5 linked regions of the Callithrix jacchus genome follow. The protein of the gene in region 5 purifies or fractionates together with the protein of the main gene of each other region. This does not show direct contact. Links are inferred from orthologs where the notes say so. Each region holds a gene or a part of one and is shown on either strand. Other genes may lie near its edges. The genes, in order: SNX9, RAB1A, AP2A1, PHETA1 and OCRL.

Region 1 (4,178 bases), on a different chromosome or scaffold from region 5:
ATACTAGCAGAATTTTTTTTTAATCCCTATAGTTCAGAAACAATCACATCCTTAAGAAAATACATAAGAACAAGTAAGAAAATTGTATCTGAAGATACTGTAGCCAATTCTCTGGTAAATTCAAAGGGAAACTGACATCACCTAAAATATCCAGACACTGAATTTACTTTTCATCACTTAATAATTACAGCAACAGCCTGAGTGCAAAGGGAGCCTAAATTTTTATTAAAAGGTAGTCATTACTACTAAATACATTCCCCCACCCCTTGAAGAAAACGAAGAAAAAAAAATAGAACTACTCAGATGTGGGGAAGGGCAGGCGTGTATACATGGGGGAAGGGAGGCAAAGGACCAACTTGATTCTCTGGGAACAATTAAAAAATGAGACTTTGGTTGGACACAACAATCACCAGCATGTCAGAAAACTAAGGAAGGCTATTCTTTTTCTTCAAACTCATCACAATGTAAACATGGAAATGAGCGCCATGTGGAACAGTGATTAGTCAGCCGAAACAAACTAACTACTGGAATATGCCTTCAGAGTGGTGTAGATAACCAAGCAGGAAGTGCTTATACATGTTTTAAGACTCGTGTTTAAGTGAAGACACACGCAATTCAAGATGAATACAAGCACCACTGTCCTTTTCAAATTTTTGGGGAAAAAATTAAGTTTAGGCTTAACAATGAAATAAAAATTTCACCAGGTATACCCGCACTAGTTGCTAAACTGCATTCCACTTAAAGGACAGTACAGGTAACACGCCTCAGCAGACCAGAGTGGGAAAAACACAATACTGACCACCACTGGACAGATCTCTAGGTCATAAACCGCTTTTTTTTTTGACAGAGCCTTGCTCTCCACAACCGCCACCTCCCGGGTTCAAGCGATTCTCCTGCCTCAGCCTCCAGAGCAGCTGGGACTATAGGTGCACACCACCACACCCAGATAATTTTTGTATTTTTAGTAAAGATGGGGTTTCATCATATTGGCCATGCTGGTCTCGAGCTCCCGACCTCAGGTGATCTGTCCACCGCGGCCTTTCAAAGTGCTGGGATTACAGGCGGGAGTGAGCCACCGCGCAGGGTCTATAAACCGATTTAAGGTTGCAAGATGAGTGTGTAGTAGGATGTGTAACCAGTAATTTCTGGAATGTTTGGCAACAAACCTCAAAATCAAATTTGCTTAGAAATCCTTGGCCTAAGTTTTATTTTTAAAAAGGTCAAAGCAAAATTAATACATTAAAAAGGTGGCAAATTATATCACATTAATAAAACCAAGGCACAGCACAGGCAATAATATATTAGTAAGAAGGTTAATTATTTCAGTAACTGCAGCAACAGGTTCCCTGGAGGAGAATCCCCATTTCTCTATAAACGCGGCACCTAGATGGATTCAGAGAACAAAATCTACCGCAGCACAAAATCTGGCAGAGGGTAATCAAGCAATTCTGATCTTTCAAAGAGATTTGAAATGTCTTATCATTTTCCACTTTATCACTCCACAAACGCGCGCGCACATACACACACCTATCGAAAAATAAAAATAAAAAAAAATAAGGTTTCCACCAACCCAAAAGTAGCTCAGAGATCTCAAAAACAAATAGAGAAAGGGGTTCTGATGCTTAGAAACTGACATTACAAAAACTAAATGCAAAAGTAAACCCGCTCCTCACAGCATATCATAGATCAGTCAATGGCTCAGGGATGGAGCCTCCTCCCCCAGGTCCTCCTTCCGCGTCCCTGACTTTCCCAACAACTATTTTACATCAAATAACTACTGAAAAGGGCCTGGGAAAAGGAGCGGGGGAAGGTGGCTTTTGAACACTCAGGTAGCAAGGAGTGACTGCTAATTTCATAAACAATAACGTAAAAGAGGGAAACCACCGCTCCTAGCCAATTACCAAGCAGGAGTCAAAGTTCCACGACGTAATTCGGGCCTGGGCCTTTACTCAGGCAAACACGTAATCGAAAGCACAGTCATTTCCCTCTTGATATTTTATTCATGCTGGCAATACCAGTCACACTGAAAAGGCAGCAAAACAAAACAAAAAAATAACAGCAGCGAAGGCAGCGGGGCTCTGGGCGTCCCAGCCTCCGTCCATCCCCGGACGCGAGCTCCCGCAGGCTGGGACGGGAAGCGCCGCGTCCTCTCCGCCGGGGTCTCGACTCCTAATCGCCTCGCGGGGCCGAGGGTCCCCCGGGCGCAGCAGAAGGGGACGCGGAGACGGCGGACAACAGGGAGCGCCTATCGCCTAGGGGGCCTCCTAGGGCTGCGGGAAGTTTCCGTCCCGCTCCCACGGCCCCTCCCGGAGAGCCAGCCGCAGCCCACTCTCTCAGGTGCAAACTTCGCAAACCTAGCTGCGCCCTGGGACCCGACCCGCGTCTGCGCGCAGATCCGACGCCCTCCCCCAGCGCGATCCCGGCGGTCCCCACAGCCCGCCGCACCCATGCCCGGAGGGGGCTGGCTGGGCCGCGGAGCCGTCCGGGAACCCAACCGAGGACGCGGCGTGGCTCCTCGGCGGCCCCCGTTCCCGACCCTCCCCGCGGCCCCGGCCCCGACCCTCCCCGCGCCGCTGTGGGCCTGATCGGCCGGCCGGGCCTGCGCCGCGCACCCCTCACCTTGGTGGCCATGGCGGGCGGGTCTCCCGGCCCGGGACGGCCGGCTCGTCTCCTGCGTTGCGGATGGTGGTTCCGAGCCGCGAGGGGGTGGGCGGCGGCTCCGGATGGGCCCCGGCGCGGCGGCGACTGCTTCGCCTCGGCCCCGAGTCTGGACGCTCAGGCCCCGCCGCTGGGCGCTCTGCGACTCCCGCGCCGCCCGCTCCTGCAGTTCCTGAAAGTCCCCGGCTGCGCGGCCCCCGCCCCTGCCGGCCGAGCCTCCCATTTACCGCGGCGCGCGCGGCGCCCGGCGGAAGCGCGCCCTGGGCCCTCGGCCGCGGCCCGGCCTCCAGGCCGCCCCCGCGCCGCGCCACCGCCCGGCCCCCTTCGTCTAGGCTCGGGGCCGCGTCCTGAGCTGCGGTAGGGTCGGGGCGGGATCCCGGAGCCATGTCCGGCAGGCCGCATAGCCGCCCCACGGAAAGCGCTCCGCGGCCCACCGAGCTGCTCGGGGGAGCCGAACCCCAGAATCCGTTCACGCTCGGCCGGCGCCGAACGCCGTGGCTCGGGGCTTTCCGTGCAAGAGGCGGGAGGGGGCGGCAGGAACTCGCGAAGCGCCCTGAAGGCAGGAGCCCCCCCACCCCGCGATTTGTGCCCTACGCCGGTGCTGCTGCGGGGTCGCGGTGCCCTGGCCCGAGTATCCTGAGTACCACATAAACAGCCGGGAAGGAACGGAGCAATGGCTTCCTGGGCCTCTTCCTCTCGCCCGGAGGCTCCCTCAGGCCGGGGTCCTGGCTTGGAGCCCCTGGAACGGGACCTTGGGGGCTTCGTTCTGTGATCTCCGGTTAACCTCCTTCTGGACTCTTGATACGTTTAAAAATGCCCGAGTGCCCCAGAGGTTTGGGGAACAGCAGGATCTCTGAAATGGAAATGAGGGTTCTAAAATTGTCCATCTTTCTTGTCAGTGGTTTTCTCCAGAGTTGGATATATATATATATATATATGGGAGTTTTGAATAAAAGAATGACTTGAATTGAGCAGCAAGATTTTTCACTCAAGGACAAAACACACGACTGGAAGATATTTTAATTGGCATACTAGTGGAGTACTTTGTTATTATGAGGGATGTATTTGTAAGAAGAGAACTATCAGATCAAATCTAAATACTCCATAGTATTTAGAGTTAATGTCAAGTTTGTGTCTTTTTAAATATGTTGTATTTGACCTGAGATTTCGCTAGTTCAATAATGGAGATTAAATACGGTATTGCAGAATTTTCTGTGAATTTTTGTGTTTGTCTAGCTCATGGTTAAAGCTGTAGTCATCATAATATGCATAGTTTTCTTTCCCCGTAAATAAAATGTTGGAGGCCAACATTCTTTGACAACCTGCTTGCTGTATACTAGGCTTTTACATCCCCATCTCATTTAATCCTTGTAGGAAACATGTGAGAAACTCATCATTGTCCACTGTTTACAAAGATGAGCCAATCAGGGCTCACTTAAATAACTTGCCCCTTTGGTAATACTTATTCAAATTGAAAATGACCATAACCTTGGACCCAGCAGCCCTCCTAGGAATTTATC
Region 2 (4,072 bases), on a different chromosome or scaffold from region 5:
AAACTTTGGACAATGTATTATACTATGCCCTTTGTAATTAAATAACTCAAGATAATGTGTTAAAGTTTAGTGGAGATTTAAATTCCTGCGCTGATTAAAGAGAGCTGTTAAGACCACAGGTTTTTAAAAAATGAGTTAATAAATAATACCCTCAGAAATTGTAGGCATTATGTAGTGATGAATTGCATGTTTTTATTGTTTATTATTTTCCAATCTTGCAGAATGGCTCAGGATTAGTAACAACTGAAAATAAGACATTACAACTCAACTTGAAGGCTGGCACGAAGGGAGGACTTGGATTTTAGGCTGGCTCTGGGCTGTGTCCCTCCCGTCCATGGAATGTGGAGCCACTGAAGGTTGTGGGGTCATGGTAGAGGTGCTGTCTCAGAAAGATACATTCGATTGTGTGCGCAAATGGGCTGGGGCGGAGAAGAGAGAGGCAGAGCCCATTAGGAGACTACTGCAATATCCAGGCTGACGAGTTAAGACAGGGGCAGCAGTAAGAATAAGAAGAAATCAAAGAAAATGGTAGTGCGCGGGGCCAACAATGGACGATGACCGAACCAAGTTGGGGCTGGGTGAGAAGTGAAAGAACCGCTCCGGGTTGTCCAGGGAGCCCCTTGACTTCCCTTCTGTCCTTAGAGCGGACGTCCTCCGACTAGCCAGCCGGGTGGCGCAAGCCTCAAGCTGGTTAGGTCAGCAAAAGCCACACCGGGGGCCTGAGCCGCCACGCGTGTCCCCCGCCCCCGGCCCCCTCCCCGCCCTTGCACCCCGGCAGTCTCTCCGGTTTGACCACTCCCTCCGGTCCCCAACCTTCCCCGACCCCCAGCCTCCGTCGACCGCCGGCACCGCCCTCCGCCTCTCTCCGCCCCTCTCCGCCCCCTCCCGCGTGGGGCGCTTACTAGCCCAGCTGCCACGTCTCACTGCTGACATCACCAGGGCCGCTCGGCCTTAGCCAATCCGCCAGGGGGAGTCAGAGCGAAGTCCTAGCCAGCGAGTCAGAGGGGAGGGGAGCAAGGAGGGGCGGAGGGTGGGGAGGTGAGGGAGTGGGGAATAGGGCGGGCGACAACCCTTCAAGTACGCATGCTCCAAACGCGCGGCGCTTGGCGGGAAGCTGAGTCTTGGCCTCCGCTCCGCACCGTCTGTTTTCAGCTCGCGTATCCGCACTCGCGACTCCCATTCCCGGCATGCCAGGCGGTGCGGCCGCCCTCCGGCTGTGTAAAGGCTCCTTGGTCTAAGGCTTCCCTATTTCCTGGTTCGCCGGCAGCCATTTTGGGTGGAAGCGATAGCTGAGTGGCAGCGGCTGCTGATTGTGTTCTAGGGGACTGAGTGGGGGAAGACGTTTGCTCTCCCGGAACAGCCTATCTCATTCCTTTCCTTCGATTACCCGTGGCGCGGAGAGTCAGGGCGGCGGCTGCAGCAGCAAGGGCGGCGGTGGCGGCGGCGGCAGCTGCAGTGACATGTCCAGCATGAATCCCGAATAGTGAGTTCAGGAGAGCACCGGTCGGCTGGGTCCGTGGGCCAGCTTGAGGGATCTTAAAGGGGGCAAGGAGGGTTGGGGCGGAAGTCGGAGCCTCAGCTGGGTTGAGGCGAGGGTGATGGGTCAGGAGAGGCTGGCGGCCGGGAGCCGGGCCCCATTGTCTGACGCGGAGGGGCGGCCGGGCGGGGGAGGGGTCGGGCCGGAGGGGTGAGACGCCCGGGCCTGGACCAGGTCAGGTTGGAGGGCCTGAGTGTGGGGCGGGTGCTGAGGAACTGTGCGGAGGGTCCTGAGGCGGTGTGAAGGGTTAGCTTTTCCTGGAGGCAGTGACTTTTGAAGGAGGACTTGTTTCTGAGGGGAGGGGATGGCGTGGGAGAGCCCTCCTAGAGGGCACTGGCAGACCCTGCGCCCGCACTCTGCGGAACTGTCAGGATCCTCGGGGTGGAAACCAGCTTTACTTGCAAATCCTGAGCTTCTTGGCTCCCTCTCCTTCCATCCTCTCCGCCAGGTTTCAGGTAATATGGATGCTTTTCGGGACTGCTTGGGATTGAGGGGAATGAGTAGATGGTGAGAAGCGATTTTTAAGTTCTCTTTTTTGAGTTGTGTCTTGGAAGAGTTCTTTAAGAACTCGGCGGTTCCATTGCCCTCCTAAAAACCTGGGCACTTGTGAGAATTTTTTTTTTTTTTTTTAGAGGACACTTAAGTCATTTTGTCTTCTGTAGGTCAAGGAAAAAAAACACACAGCTAAAGCCAAGGAATGTTTTTCTGATACTACCAGATTAAAGGAACCCTGCTGTCAAGTTGAAAGAGAAACGAATGGGACCTATGATAGATCTGTATGTAGGTTTTGGATTACCTGCTTGAATGATTGCAGATAGGGAATGATAGGCAATGAGGTTCCATGACGTGTCATGAAAAGTTAATGCATTTCTTTTTCTTGCTTACTCAAGAAGTCACGACAGCAGATGTGACACACCTGGCACCTTTCCTGGGAACTGGTGTTCACTTCCCTTGGGTAGACTTTGTTGGCTCTCCTCAGTGGCCCTTTAAAAATTTCCTCTACAGTTTACATATATGTAAAGTAATGAGTAATTGGAAGAGATAGAATTGGTATTTCTTTTCAGTGTCAAAAGCCTTTGAGGGATGGGGGAAATGAGTATTTGTTGTAAAAGTTGAGTTTATTTGCTGCTTTGATCAATTACTGCTAAACATTTTCCCCTAAAAGGTCCACCCACCAGTTTAGCTGACTGTCATGTGTGTGTCACATGGCTCTTGCAAAATGCATTCTTCAAGTTTTGTAACACTGGCTTGATGCTGAAATCTTTTGCACTAAACTGAAACCATAGTATTTTATTAGAATTTTATGCTTTAGAAGTTGACGGTAGTGTTCTTGTAGTGACATATTTACTTTGTTGACAGTTAAAAAAATTTTTTTTTCAAGGGCTCCAAGGACACAGTTGGTTTTGCACAGGTGAACACAGTTGAACTTGAGGTTCTTAATTTAGTGGTTTTCTTGGTAACAGTAAAGAATATGGATTTACCGCTCTATCAAAGTTCATAAACCTGTACTGTTAAGGGCTTTTTCTGAATTTACTATATATATGTTTAGTACTGTAAATAGATATTCAAGATTAGTTGAGAACTTTGACAAGTTAGCCTCTGAATTTATTTCCCCTTTTGTTAAATAGAATAATTGGAATCATTATTCCTTTCAGGGTAGTGGTGAAATTCAAATGCATATAAAAGAATTAGGAAAACTATATGAGCATTCTTCAGGTAGTATGCGTAATTTTCATGAAAGGCGTTCTATTAGTGCTAAGATTTAGGAATATAATCTTTATGTTTAAGGAGTTTAGGAATATAGATAAACATTTTATGCATGTCAAATACCAGTAAATGCAGCAAATTCCAGATGTGTGTCGTTGATGAGAGCAACAAGATTTCGGGGATGGTGGGTTGTGATTAGCTATCTGGGTTTTGGAAGACTTTATAGAAAAGAGACCTGAAAGGAAATTATCAGCAGCAATTGGATTTGGAGGAACAGAGGGAGTGAGAAGGAATTTTCAAGGAGGAGAAGCAGGAATGGCTCATAGATGACAGGGATAGTAATTCTTGAGTAAATGTGGTATCACATCATCCTTTTCTTTTGAAGACTAGATTAATGACCTCAATGGAATCAAATCCAGAAATAGTTTTTATATTTTTTCTGGCATCAAATACATGAGTATCTGGCCTACTATATTTGTAGTCTATCTAGACTGTTGAGTAAAGTAAAACAGGAATTTGGGAAAACTTTTGCAAAAATGTTAGTGGAAATTAGGGTAAGAGGAAGTGAGGGATATTTTATTAGGGAAGGTTACAAGGGCAGCCAACAATCAGATTTTTAGCAATCTGACTTTAGCAGGTTTTTTTTTTTTTTTTTTTGAGACGGGGTTTCGCTCTTGTTACCCAGGCTGGAGTGCAATGTCTCGATCTTGGCTCACTGCAGCCTCCGCCTCCTGGGTTCAGGCAATTCTCCTCCTTCAGCCTCCTGAGTAGCTGGGATTACAGGCACACACCACCGTGCCCAGCTAATTTTTTGTATTTTTAGTAGAG
Region 3 (3,512 bases), on a different chromosome or scaffold from region 5:
GTTATTCCACAAGCGGGTCCTGGCAGAGGTGTAGGAATGTCCCACACAAATGGGAGAGGTTGGCAGCCAGGAGACCAGAGGCAGTGGGGACAGGCCACATGGGAGAGGACGAAGCCATGGCCCTAGGGACGGGGCAGGGGGCGCAAGGGTCTCACCCAAGGGTCTGACCTGGTGCCTGGGTGGACAGTGGGACCTTCATGGGATTGAGAACTGGGAGAGGAAGCAGTGAGCTCAGTGGTAGGAGTGAGCGCCCTAGTGATAGCTAAGCTCTTCATTCATTCATTCATCACCTGTTCATTGTGTGTGTGGGGCAGGGATAGGAGCTCTCAGGGAGCGTGTCCGGGGCCTGAGGAGCCCCACAGATCAGGGGCCACAGTGGGAGGAGGAACGAGAGGAAGTCAGGGACAGCCCAAGGGTGTGTGCTGTGCTTCCCCTCTGTGCCGTGGGGCTCAGTGAGCGGTGGTTCCTCCATCTTTGAAGCTCCCAGTCAGAGAAGGGGTCCTGGCCTGTCCTAAGCCCCAGGGCCTGGGGGCCGGGAAGATCTGGCCTTCCTGCTGGGTGGGGCCGTACCTAGGAAAGGGAAAGCAGGTGGCTGACTCCACAGAACTCTCCACCCACCCTCCTCCTCTTCTCCCAGGTAAGAGCAAAGAGGCGGAGATTAAGAGGATCAACAAGGAACTGGCCAATATCCGCTCCAAGTTCAAAGGTAGGCCGGGGCCTGACTCCTGGCTCTGAGGGAGGAGGGGCTGGGGGTGGGGCTCCTGGGACCTATCCTGTGACCCTTCCTCGTTTCTGGCTCCCCACCTTCTCCTTCCTCTGCCCTAGGCGACAAAGCCTTAGACGGCTATAGTAAGAAAAAATATGTGTGTAAACTGCTCTTCATCTTCCTGCTCGGCCACGACATTGACTTTGGGCACATGGAGGCTGTGAACCTGCTGAGCTCCAATAAATACACAGAGAAGCAGATAGTGAGTCTGGAGAGGGGAGGCCAGGGCCTGGACTCCTGGGTGTGAGGGTTGGATCTGGGGCCGCTCAGTCACAGGGCTCCTAGCCACCCCCCACCTGCCTTGCCACAGGGTTACCTGTTCATCTCTGTGCTGGTGAACTCAAATTCGGAGCTGATCCGCCTGATCAACAATGCCATCAAGAACGACCTGGCCAGCCGCAACCCCACCTTCATGTGCCTGGCCCTGCACTGCATCGCCAACGTGGGCAGCCGGGAGATGGGCGAGGCCTTTGCCGCAGACATCCCCCGAATCCTGGTGGCCGGGTAAGGCACTGGGGACCCGTGGGCAGTCGGGTGTGTGGGAGATGAGGCCCAGCCAAGGACAAGGCTCAGAGACCTGCCCGAGGTCTCCGAGCCGGGCTGGGACGTGGGCTAACGCTGCGCTGGGGACCTCAGTGGTTCTGGTGGCAGCTCTGGACTTGTCTCTTCTCATGATAGCAAGCTGACTTGATGGCGTGAGCCCGCTTCCCCACAAAGCCGGTGGCCGGGGAGTCTCTGAACTGCAGAACTGTAACACCCAGGATAAGAGGGATAACTGTAAGCTGGGTGGGTGATGGCCCTCCAGAACGTCTTCATCTGCTCCAGTCATTCACCAAACATTTACTGACCACCTACTATGTGCCAGCCACTGTGCTGATTGCTGGGGATGTGTCCTGACCAGAGATAGAAACGGTCATTGCCCTCCCATGTTCGTGGTCTGGAGCAGGAGATAAATGGTGTTGGAAGAATTGCAGGATGCAGTGGAGAATCTGCCAGGCGTGGTGGCTCATGTAATCCCTGTATTTTGGGAGGCCAAGGGAGGTGGATTGCTTGAGTCTAGGAGTTTGAGACCCTACTGAGCAACATGGCAAAACCCCATCTCTACTAAACACAAAAAACGAGTTGTGTTCATGCCACTGCACAGCCTGGGAGACAGCAAGACCCTGTCTCAAAAAAAAAAAAAAGTACAATTCCTCCCTCAGAACTACATTCTGGGCACAGGGGCCTATAAGGGTGTTTAATAGGAATACCTGACCCAGCTGGAGGATCAGAGAGGGCTTCCCAGAGGAAGCGGCACGAGGCTGACACCCGGGCGAGGAACAGTATTTTGCGATTGGAAAGCGGCAGTGAGGTCAGCTATGTGATTCTCTTGAAGCAGGAAGTTGTTGAGCGGATCTTTCTGGAGCATCTACAATGTGCTGGGCGCTGTTCTGGGCATGGGAGGCAGCAGTGAACAGCAGAGACCCTGCTGTGCCTACTCTTTTTCCATTTTGCTTGAGCACTAACTAGCTTCTCAGCCATGCCCACCCTCCAGGAGCTTACTTCTTAGGGGGCACAGGCAGCAAATACACAAGTAAAGAAGTAAGAAGGGGCCAGTGCGATGACTCAAGCCTGGAATCCCAGCACTTTGGGAGGCTGACTGAGGCAGGATCGATTGAGCCCAGGAGTTCGAGACCAGCCTGGGCAACATGGTGAGACTCTGTCTCTCTCTCTCTCTCTCTTTTTTTTTTTTTAATTAGCCTGAAGACTGGGTTCTCTTGGAGTGACCCTGTCTCTTAAAATTAAAAAAAAAAAAGAAAAATTAGCCGGGCCTGGTGGTTCACACCTGCTACTCAGGAGGCTGAGGCAGGAGCAGCACTTGTGGCCCTCCAAAAAGAGGAAGTAAGATGATCTTAGGTAGTGACGAATGCTCAAAGAAAATGCGACAGGGTTGTGAGGGACAGCAGGGGGCATGGGGAGGCTGGGTTTTTTTTTTCTTTTTTTTTTGAAACAGGGTCTCACTCTGTCATCCAGGCTGGAGTGCAGATCTCAGCTCACTGCAGCCTCTGCCTTCTGCGTTCAAGCAATTCTCATGCCTCAGCCTCCTGAGTAGCTGGGATCATAGGCACATGCCACCACGCCTGGCTAATTTTTATATATATATATATATATATATATATATATATATATATTTTTTTTTTTTTTTTGAGACGGAGTTTCGCTCTTGTTACCCAGGCTGGAGTGCAATGGCGCGATCTTGGCTCACTGCAACCTCCGCCTCCTGGGTTCAGGCAATTCTCCTGCCTCAGCCTCCTGAGTAGCTGGGATTACAGGCACATGCCACCATGCCCAGCTAATTTTTCATATTTTTAGTAGAGACGGGGTTTCACCATGTTGACCAGGTTGGTCTCGATCTCTTGACCTCATGATCCACCCGCCTCGGCCTCCCAAAGTGCTGGGATTACAGGCTTGAGCCACCATGCCCGGCCTAATTTTTATATTTTTAGTAGAGATGGGGTTTCATCATGTTGGCCAGGCTGATCTTGAACTCCTGACCTCAATTGATCTGCCCGCCTCAGCCTCCCAAAGTGCTGGGATTACAGGTTTGAGTCACTGCATCTGGTTGGAGGTTGTTTAAATTAGACTAGTGAGGGAGGGTCTCTCCACAGAGGTGGTGTGTATGATAAGATCATCATTTGAAGATGTTGGAGAAAGAGCGTCCTGAGCAAAAGGACCAGCAAGCACAGAGGCCCTGGGGCAGGCGTGA
Region 4 (4,130 bases), on a different chromosome or scaffold from region 5:
CTGCGGAGCACAGGGCTAGGCACAAAGTGCCTGCTGAGCACAGTAGCAATTCACATTCTTCTTGGCTTTTCCCCAGACACCCCCATCTAGTGCTTCCAACCTGAGCAAATGGCCCTTGGTTTCCCTCTCACCCCTACATCTGATCACCCATCAAGTCCAGTTGATCCCCCCTCCAGCCTCTTCCAAATCAGTTGCCTAATCTGTCCACCCCACCTCCCCATTCTAAGCCCCATCATCATTCACTGCTGAAGCCTCCTCAGAAGTCTCCTTTCCCCTCCCTGTCCACATTCCTCAAGGTAAGATCCAAGCCTATTTCCCAGGCTCTTCTCCAAGCCACACTGAAATCCACTCCCCACAGAGGGATCCTGTGAAAATTAAGTCCAATCACACTCCTCCTCTGCTCTAAACCCTCCCTGCTTCTCTCAGCATAAAATTCAATCCTTAGGCAGGGCGCGGTGGCTCACACCTGTAATGCTGGCACTTTGGAAGGCTGAAGCCGGAGGATTGCTTGAGTTAGAAACCTGCCTGGACAACACAGCAAGACCCTATCACTATAAAAAATAGAAAAAACAGCTGGGTATGGTGGCACACACCTCTAGTCCTTGCTATCTGGGAGGCACACACCTCTAGTCCTAGCTATCTGGGAGGCACAAACCTCTAGTCCTAACTATCTGGGAGGCTGACATGGAAGGACCCTTTGAATTTGGGAGTGATCATGCCACTGCATTCCAGCCTGGACAACATAGTGAGACCCTGTCTCAAAAAAAAAAAAAAAAAAAAAGCTTCCCATGGCTTCCAAGTTCCCTTTCCCTACCTCTTTTCCCCTTGCTCATTCAGCTCCAGCCATCCTGGCCTCCTTTCTGTTCCTCAAATACAGCAGACACATCCCTGCCTCTGAGACCTGGCCCTGGCTGTCTGCCTACAGTGTCCTCTCCAGGTCTTCACAAGGCCAGCTCCCCATCCTTTGGTCTCAGGATTGGTCCCTGGCCACCCTATGCACAAGAGCCCCCCCCAGTCCCTCTCCTGTGCCTCCTTCTGAAATTATTAGTACTGGGGTCATTTTTGCCTGCTCCAGGAAAGCAGGGGTGTTTGTGATTTGAATTCCAGTGCCTCGCATGCAGTAGGTGCTCACACAGCTGTTTGATTCATTCTACAGGTATCTTCTTAAACCTCTCAACAGGCCCAAGACAAGGGGTCTCACCCCACATTCATAGACATGGAAATGGCCACAGAGAGGTTCAGTAAGTTGGCCAGAGGCATACAACTGTGCCCAGAATCATATACTCCAGGCAAGCCACCCAAAAAAGGAGCTGATCTTGGGGTCTCCCCACCCCAACAAGGCCGAAGGAATAGGAACTTCCCTCCTGCTCAGCAACACTCCCCCCTCCACTGCACAGATGGAGGCCAAACTGGTTCAAGGTCACCAGCAGGCATGACCTGGCTCTGTCCATGACCCCTGCCTCCACCAGAACGGGGAAGGCAGGAAGCCACAGGGGCACAGGCTCCAGCCTTGCCTAGAGGGAAGGCCTGGCCCCTGTCTTATCTTACCATGCTGTTTTCCAAAAAGTTCAGAGTCCACTGTGGGCACTGCTGCTGATTCAACAGCCAGGCAGGAAGCTGGAGGGAGCCTGGCCCCTCTGCTTCCAAGGCCAGGGTCCTGCCTCTGCCGGTACAGGCTAGAGGATCTTGGACAAGTCATTTCACCTTTCCAAGCCTCAGTTTCCTCATCTGTTAAAATGGGCTGTGTGTCGAAGGTTCAGTGAGCTAAAAGAAGGAAAACCCACAGGCAAACTGGGAAAGGGACTGCAAATAGTAGCTGCTCTGAGTTGGGGATTTTCGCAGCCTCATCAGCAAAATGGGGAGTTAACTTCCATCCCTCTAAGGGCTGAGTGAATTTATTCCTGAAGAGTCATTTTGCAAATTACTTGGTTGGTAGTGAGTTGAACGCTCAGGGAAAGAGCCACCAAAAGGCAAATAATTCATCTAAGATCTCCAGGGGCACAGCTGGCCCTGGAACCCAGGTCTCTGGGGAGACTGAGGCATGGCATTTTGGCACTCACTTCAATGAAAGAAGCCAGAACCGCAGGTCTTGGGGTTGAATCCAGCTGCCCTCAGTGTCCCCCAGCAGCGGGCATGGGGAAGAGGGTGTGGCAGGCACAGGCTGAAAAACATGTGTGCCAAGAACACTGAAGAGCAGCCAGTCTATCACGGCCCCAGCAGGGACCCCAGGGACGCCAGCACCACCGTCCGCGCACAGACAGCCCCCTTGCCTGCTTCTCCAGCTCTGGCCCTGCTCCCAGCTGTCCTCTGTCTCTTTGTGTATTGAGCGTGGGAGCTCTCTTAAGTTCGGTAAAGGACAGCCCGAGCCCCGGATGGGTGGTCAGCGGCAGAATGAGGAGCTTAGCCGCAGTCCCCCTCAGCGGCAGACGTCCCTATGCTGGGGGCGGGGAGGGTAGTCATCGGCCAAGTCCGCCTAGGCTGCCGGAAAAGTGACCGCTGGTGCGGAGTCCCAGCGGGGAAGATCCTCGCAGCGGGCTCTCCAGGTGGCCGGGGCACCCCGAGGCCCAGGGCGGCCCGACCCAGGTCCCGCATCCCTGTGCAGGTCCCCCGGCCAGGCCCGCCTTACCTCGAAGCGCAGGCCTAGTGCGGCGACGGGACAGGAGGCGCGAGGCCGGGGGATGGCCGGGCCATGGTCCGGGACTGGCCCGGTTGCGGCGACGGCGGCGGCAGCGCTTTGTCTCCCGGGTGGCCAGGCCGGCGCAGCCGCGGGAGAGCGCGGATCCGACGGAAGGAGGCGGGAGCGACCGGACAGTCCGCGACCCACTGGCGCGCCCCTTTAACCCTTCCCAACCTACCCGCGCCGCCCGTTCGTCTCGCCTCTCGATTGGCCTGCCCCCACCCGGCACGCCCCTGGATTTGCCACGCCCCCGTGAGCCCGCCCTCGAAATCACTCTTAAAGGGTCCGCGCCTGGCTCGCCATTCCCCAGTGCTGGAGCCCAGAAGCTCTTTGAGATTCCAAAGGTAACGACCGGCCCAGGCCGTGGATTCGCCCGGAAAGAGCATTCGGGGTTCCTGGGCGGGCCATTTGCTGAAGTCCTAGAGTTCAGTCTGAGCTCCCCCTAGGACGAGGCAGGAGGGTCGCTTGAGCCCAGGAGTTCAAGACCAGCCTGGGCAACATAGGGAGGCCCCCATCTCTACAAATAAAAAAAAATGTGCTAAACCTGGGTTGCCAGGTTTAGCAAATTTAACGCCCAGTTAAATTAGAAAAATAGCTCTAACTCCTCAAAAATGTGTACTTGGCGGAAAGCAGCTGAATCCAGGACATTTGTATACAGCAGTCTTCCATAGGAACAGGGTGCCTCGAGCCTCCCCTGGACCCAGGTGAAGAGAGAAAGTTCTGGAATTGGACAGACTTGAGTTCGAGTTGCACTAGCCCACTGAACACTCTGTGACCTTAGAGAAATCATTTCACTTCTTTAGGTCTCCGTTTCCTCATCGGGAAAATAAACACAATAATAATATGTAATGTGCACGGCACAGTAGTAGGCTCCCAAGAAATAGGAATTGTTGTTGATTTTGCCCTGTCCAAAATAACACAGTTTCACCTCCTTGAACCCTTCCTTGCTTCCTGTTCCTGCTGCCTTTTCTCCACCACCTACCACCTCCTAATCACTGTCCAGTCCTGGCCTGAGGGCAGGAAGAACAGGACAGACCAGGGTCAGCTCTCCATTGTATAGCATCTTACTAAGTGCCTACTGTGTGCCAGGCACTGTTCCTGAACCGGGTAAGTAGGTGCAGCCAGGAATCAAGACAACAGCAAATGAGTTCAGGAAGTGATTCATGCTAGGTCTATACGCCAAGGCAATGGGGCAGAAAGCCTGGTAGTGCAGCTTTCTTTTTGCTTTTTTTTTTTTTTTTGTCACCCAGTTTGGAGTGCACTGGCACAATCACAGCTCATTGTAACCTTGACTTCCTGGGTTCAAGCAATCCTCCGACCTCAGCCTCCCAAGTAGCTGGGACTACAGGTGTGCGCCACCACACTTGACTAATTTTTTTTTTTTTTTTTTTTGAGACGGAGTTTCGCTCTTGTTGCCCAGGCTGGAGTGCAATGGCGCAATCTCGGCTCACCG
Region 5 (3,512 bases):
ATTCCAAGTTCCAACAAAAAATCTAATATATAATATGAAAAGATAATTTGAAAACAAAGATCAAGTATAAACCAACAGAAGGTCTTTCTTTTCACTTCTATACAAAGGTATGTTCACAATATGCTAACGTAATTCCTCAAAATGTTTTTCCACACATGTAAGAAAAATCTTTTGCATCTAGAACATAAAGGCAGTGGGCTTATTTTCTCTAAATTTTACATTAAGTAAAACTACAGAAGGAAACCAAGTCTCTATTTTTAAAAAATGCAAAGGTAATTGCTATACCACATTTCCTTTCAATTAAACTCCATCTAAACTCATACTTGAAAGGAGAGCTTACAGATGGGAAAGAGGTATCTTCATGCTGTAAGCTAGTCAAATATGGATAAATGTTCTATACAGGGCTGTAGCTGACTCCAGAAACTCACTTCCTGAAGGATTACAAGGACATCTGTGTAGGAAATTCTGAGGAGGCAGACATAGTATTAAGGGGGAAAGCAGAAGGGAAAACTCATGACTGTCTTAGCTGTTTACAAACAAATATAAGCATAGTGGGGAATATCAGGAACTGGAGGTTTTAGCATAGGAATATAGTTATGATTGAATTAGAATAAATGAGGCATGATAGGATAGCAGATGGGACTAGAATCTTGGACTAGAAGGGTACATTCTGCTCATGAGTAACAAAGAAAGGTGGTGTTACTTCATGCATTGGCGATACACGCCACATGGTACCTCACATGCAGCAAAAACACAGGTCCAGAAAAGAAGATGTCAACAAGTAAAGATGAAACAAAAAATAATACAGATGAAAGAATCCAAGACAGACCTTCCAATCAAGAAGACTGGGTGAAACTTACTTTACTTACCAAAGTAAGTTAAGAGCTAGTGGTAATGATGAACTTTAATTTTCTGGTATTGATGAGAAAAAAAAACTTAGCAGGCCAGATATATAAACAGGCTTGTTTATGGAATGTGCTAGGGGAAAATTCTCTAGTAGATGTGAGCTTGATTTGATTCTTCAAGACTCAATAGAGGCCAGGTGCAGTGGCTCACGCCTATAATCCCAGCAATTTAGGAGGCCGAGGCAGGCAGATCAGGAGGTCAAGAGATCGAGACCATCCTGGCCAACATGGTGAAACCCCGTCTCTACTAAAAAATACAAAAATTAGCTGGGTGTGGTGGGGTGCACCTGCAGTCCCAGCTACTCCAGAGGCTGAGGCAGGAGAATTGCTTGAACTCAGGAGGCTGAGATTGCAGTGAGCCGAGATAGCACCACTGCACTCCAGCCTGGTGCCTGGCAACAGAATGAGCCTCTGTTTCAAACAAAAAAAAAAATTAAAAAAAAAAAGACTCAATAGAGACATTAGTAGACATGGCATTATTAGTAGTTAAGCACGGTAGCTCACACCTATAATCCCAACACTTTTTTGCCTGACCTCAGGAATTTGAGACCAGCCTGGGAAACATGGCGAAACCCAGTCTCTATAAAAAAAAACAAAAATTAGCTGGGTGTGGTGGCGTGCGTCTGTAGTCCCAGCTACTTTCGAGGGCTGAGGTGGGAGGATTGCTTGGGACTGGGAGGTCAAGGCTACAGTGAGCCATGATCTACTCTCCAGCCTGGGTGACAAAGAGAGCTTGACTCACACACAAAAAAAGAAAATCCAAGGAAAACTGTAGCATCTGCATTATTTCTGATATGCACGTTACTGGCCAGCATAGAGACAGGAGCTTGAAACAGGCGACCATTCCTTTTTATCATATTTTGATTCTTAATTAGGCTAATAATGTCATAAATATCAACAGGCCACTGTCTGTTATACCTACTTACTTTTTGGACTCAGGAAGCAAAAGAGACACTAACCTGAAAGTCTGAATGTTGACATATTCTTTCTCTCGCTTTGCCAGGATATGTTTAATGAGACCCTCCCGCTGCCCAGATTGGGTATTTGGTACAAAGAGCTTCCGCATGGTGTTGGTCACTTTGGGCTGCTCCTTGTTAGAAGCTTCTTTTTCACGTGGAAGCCTAGCAAATAAAAGATTCAAAAGTAAAATTGTTTAAACTATAATTCTCCTATAGGGGAAATACGTTTTCACATAGGACTTACATTTTATTCACTGAAGGGGGTGGAGGTGGGGGTTCCCGATGAATCCCAGTAGGCTGATTTTGTGAATTTATTTTCTTGTCCAAATTCATAGAAGAAAAATTGTCTTCAAATCCAAGAAGCCCTGAAAGATACAGACCCCAGAGTCAAAGGGGGAAAAAAGCTAACATCCAACATTTCCAGGGTAACAGGGCTTTGATTTGATCAAAATTTGATCGGTGGTATTACTAAACAGAAAGCTGCCATAAGGGTAGAATTTACTTGGATTGGGGTTCAAAGAAGCACTGATACACTAACTAGAACAATAGTTTACACACTAGTAATAGCTAACATTTACTGAAGACTTAGTACAATGCCTGGTTAAACAGTAAGGGATTATATCATTATCTCACTTAATCATCACAAAAACTCTACGAGGTAAGTACTATTAAACTTCTTACCATGTTACAGAAAAGAAAATGGAAGTTCAGAGTTTTTGAGTAACTTGATGAAAGTCGTATAACTAGTAAGTCCTTGACTTGGGTGGGATTCAAACCCAGGCCAACTGGCTCTGGAGCTTGTACTTCCTACCACCCTGCTAAGTTGGCTCCTGAAAAGCTACCATGCTACAGAAAGGATGAGGAGTGAACATTGGTCAGTGGGCCTGCACTCGATAAAACTATTCTGCAGGAGAATGTATCTGACATTGGCTTTAATCTACATCATCATATTTGGCCTGACAAAATCTACTGACTCTGCAATGACCATAGCAACCAGAGAACCAGAAACTTTTCAGTACCTGAAAAACCGGAAGGTTTGTCCTTAGTGTCTAATTTCTGGTACCAGCTGGATGAGTCCTTTTGCTCTGGAACAAGAAGTTGTGACTGAGCTGGAGAGATATGGTTCATGGTCAGAAGCTGGGAAGTCTTTCACTGAGTAGAATTTACCATAGCGAAAAGCCATTCTTTTCAACATTCCTTACATGCAGGGGCCAGCACCATTTTTGGATATAGAAGAAACTAAGGAAATGAGGGCAGCTCTGGGGTCATTGAGGGGCAGAAGGAGAATTACAGTCTATGGTAAGCTATGCTTGCCACGACACTGAAGATTCTGGAAAGTGGCTTAGTATCCTTACAGCCAGGCAGATTTGTTCCCTAACCTATTCCTGTGTTCACTCCTGAAGAAAAAAAAAATCAGCTACCAGGGCTTAAAGGGTGAGGTATTTTGCCAATGGCCATTTCCCTCTGTATCAGCATGTCAGAATTTCATTCCCATTCAGACAGAAGAAAGAAAATTGCCGAGTCTTGAGTTACCTTTCTGAGCAACAAGGACCTCTGAGAGGAACTTCAAACCGTGTTCCTCATCAGGGATTTCAAAGCGGCGCTCTCTGGTCCAGTCCCCCTGAACCCGAATTTTGCAGCCACCTAA

The links.
Region 1: the proteins of OCRL (region 5) and SNX9 purify together in Homo sapiens (co-immunoprecipitation; 3 studies listed by BioGRID and IntAct, with this or other methods). This does not show direct contact. The link is inferred for Callithrix jacchus from reciprocal best matches to the Homo sapiens genes OCRL and SNX9.
Region 2: the proteins of OCRL (region 5) and RAB1A purify together in Homo sapiens (co-immunoprecipitation; 3 studies listed by BioGRID and IntAct, with this or other methods). This does not show direct contact. The link is inferred for Callithrix jacchus from reciprocal best matches to the Homo sapiens genes OCRL and RAB1A.
Region 3: the proteins of OCRL (region 5) and AP2A1 purify together in Homo sapiens (affinity purification with mass spectrometry; 3 studies listed by BioGRID and IntAct, counting the BioPlex papers as one, with this or other methods). This does not show direct contact. The link is inferred for Callithrix jacchus from reciprocal best matches to the Homo sapiens genes OCRL and AP2A1.
Region 4: the proteins of OCRL (region 5) and PHETA1 purify together in Homo sapiens (co-immunoprecipitation; 5 studies listed by BioGRID and IntAct, counting the BioPlex papers as one, with this or other methods). This does not show direct contact. The link is inferred for Callithrix jacchus from reciprocal best matches to the Homo sapiens genes OCRL and PHETA1.

Annotation. Positions count from the first base shown.
Region 1 is NC_133505.1:164,652,189-164,656,366, reverse strand, and holds the start of SNX9 (sorting nexin-9), read right to left. Parts: upstream 2,809-4,178; 5' UTR 2,632-2,808; coding exon 2,620-2,631; intron 1-2,619. UniProt on the Homo sapiens protein: Involved in endocytosis and intracellular vesicle trafficking, both during interphase and at the end of mitosis. Required for efficient progress through mitosis and cytokinesis. Required for normal formation of the cleavage furrow at the end of mitosis.
Region 2 is NC_133515.1:48,813,528-48,817,599, forward strand, and holds the start of RAB1A (ras-related protein Rab-1A), read left to right. Parts: upstream 1-1,269; 5' UTR 1,270-1,460; coding exon 1,461-1,483; intron 1,484-4,072. UniProt on the Homo sapiens protein: The small GTPases Rab are key regulators of intracellular membrane trafficking, from the formation of transport vesicles to their fusion with membranes.
Region 3 is NC_133523.1:43,555,050-43,558,561, forward strand, and holds part of AP2A1 (AP-2 complex subunit alpha-1), read left to right. Parts: intron 1-637; coding exon 638-706; intron 707-825; coding exon 826-968; intron 969-1,076; coding exon 1,077-1,270; intron 1,271-3,512.
Region 4 is NC_133510.1:114,239,508-114,243,637, forward strand, and holds the start of PHETA1 (sesquipedalian-1), read right to left. Parts: upstream 2,811-4,130; 5' UTR 2,627-2,810; intron 2,162-2,626; exon of another isoform or gene 1,549-2,161; intron 1-1,548. UniProt on the Homo sapiens protein: Plays a role in endocytic trafficking. Required for receptor recycling from endosomes, both to the trans-Golgi network and the plasma membrane.
Region 5 is NC_133524.1:125,226,105-125,229,616, reverse strand, and holds part of OCRL (inositol polyphosphate 5-phosphatase OCRL), read right to left. Parts: intron 3,509-3,512; coding exon 3,398-3,508; intron 2,974-3,397; coding exon 2,884-2,973; intron 2,230-2,883; coding exon 2,109-2,229; intron 2,027-2,108; coding exon 1,865-2,026; intron 23-1,864; coding exon 1-22. UniProt on the Homo sapiens protein: Catalyzes the hydrolysis of the 5-position phosphate of phosphatidylinositol 4,5-bisphosphate (PtdIns(4,5)P2) and phosphatidylinositol-3,4,5-bisphosphate (PtdIns(3,4,5)P3), with the greatest catalytic activity towards PtdIns(4,5)P2.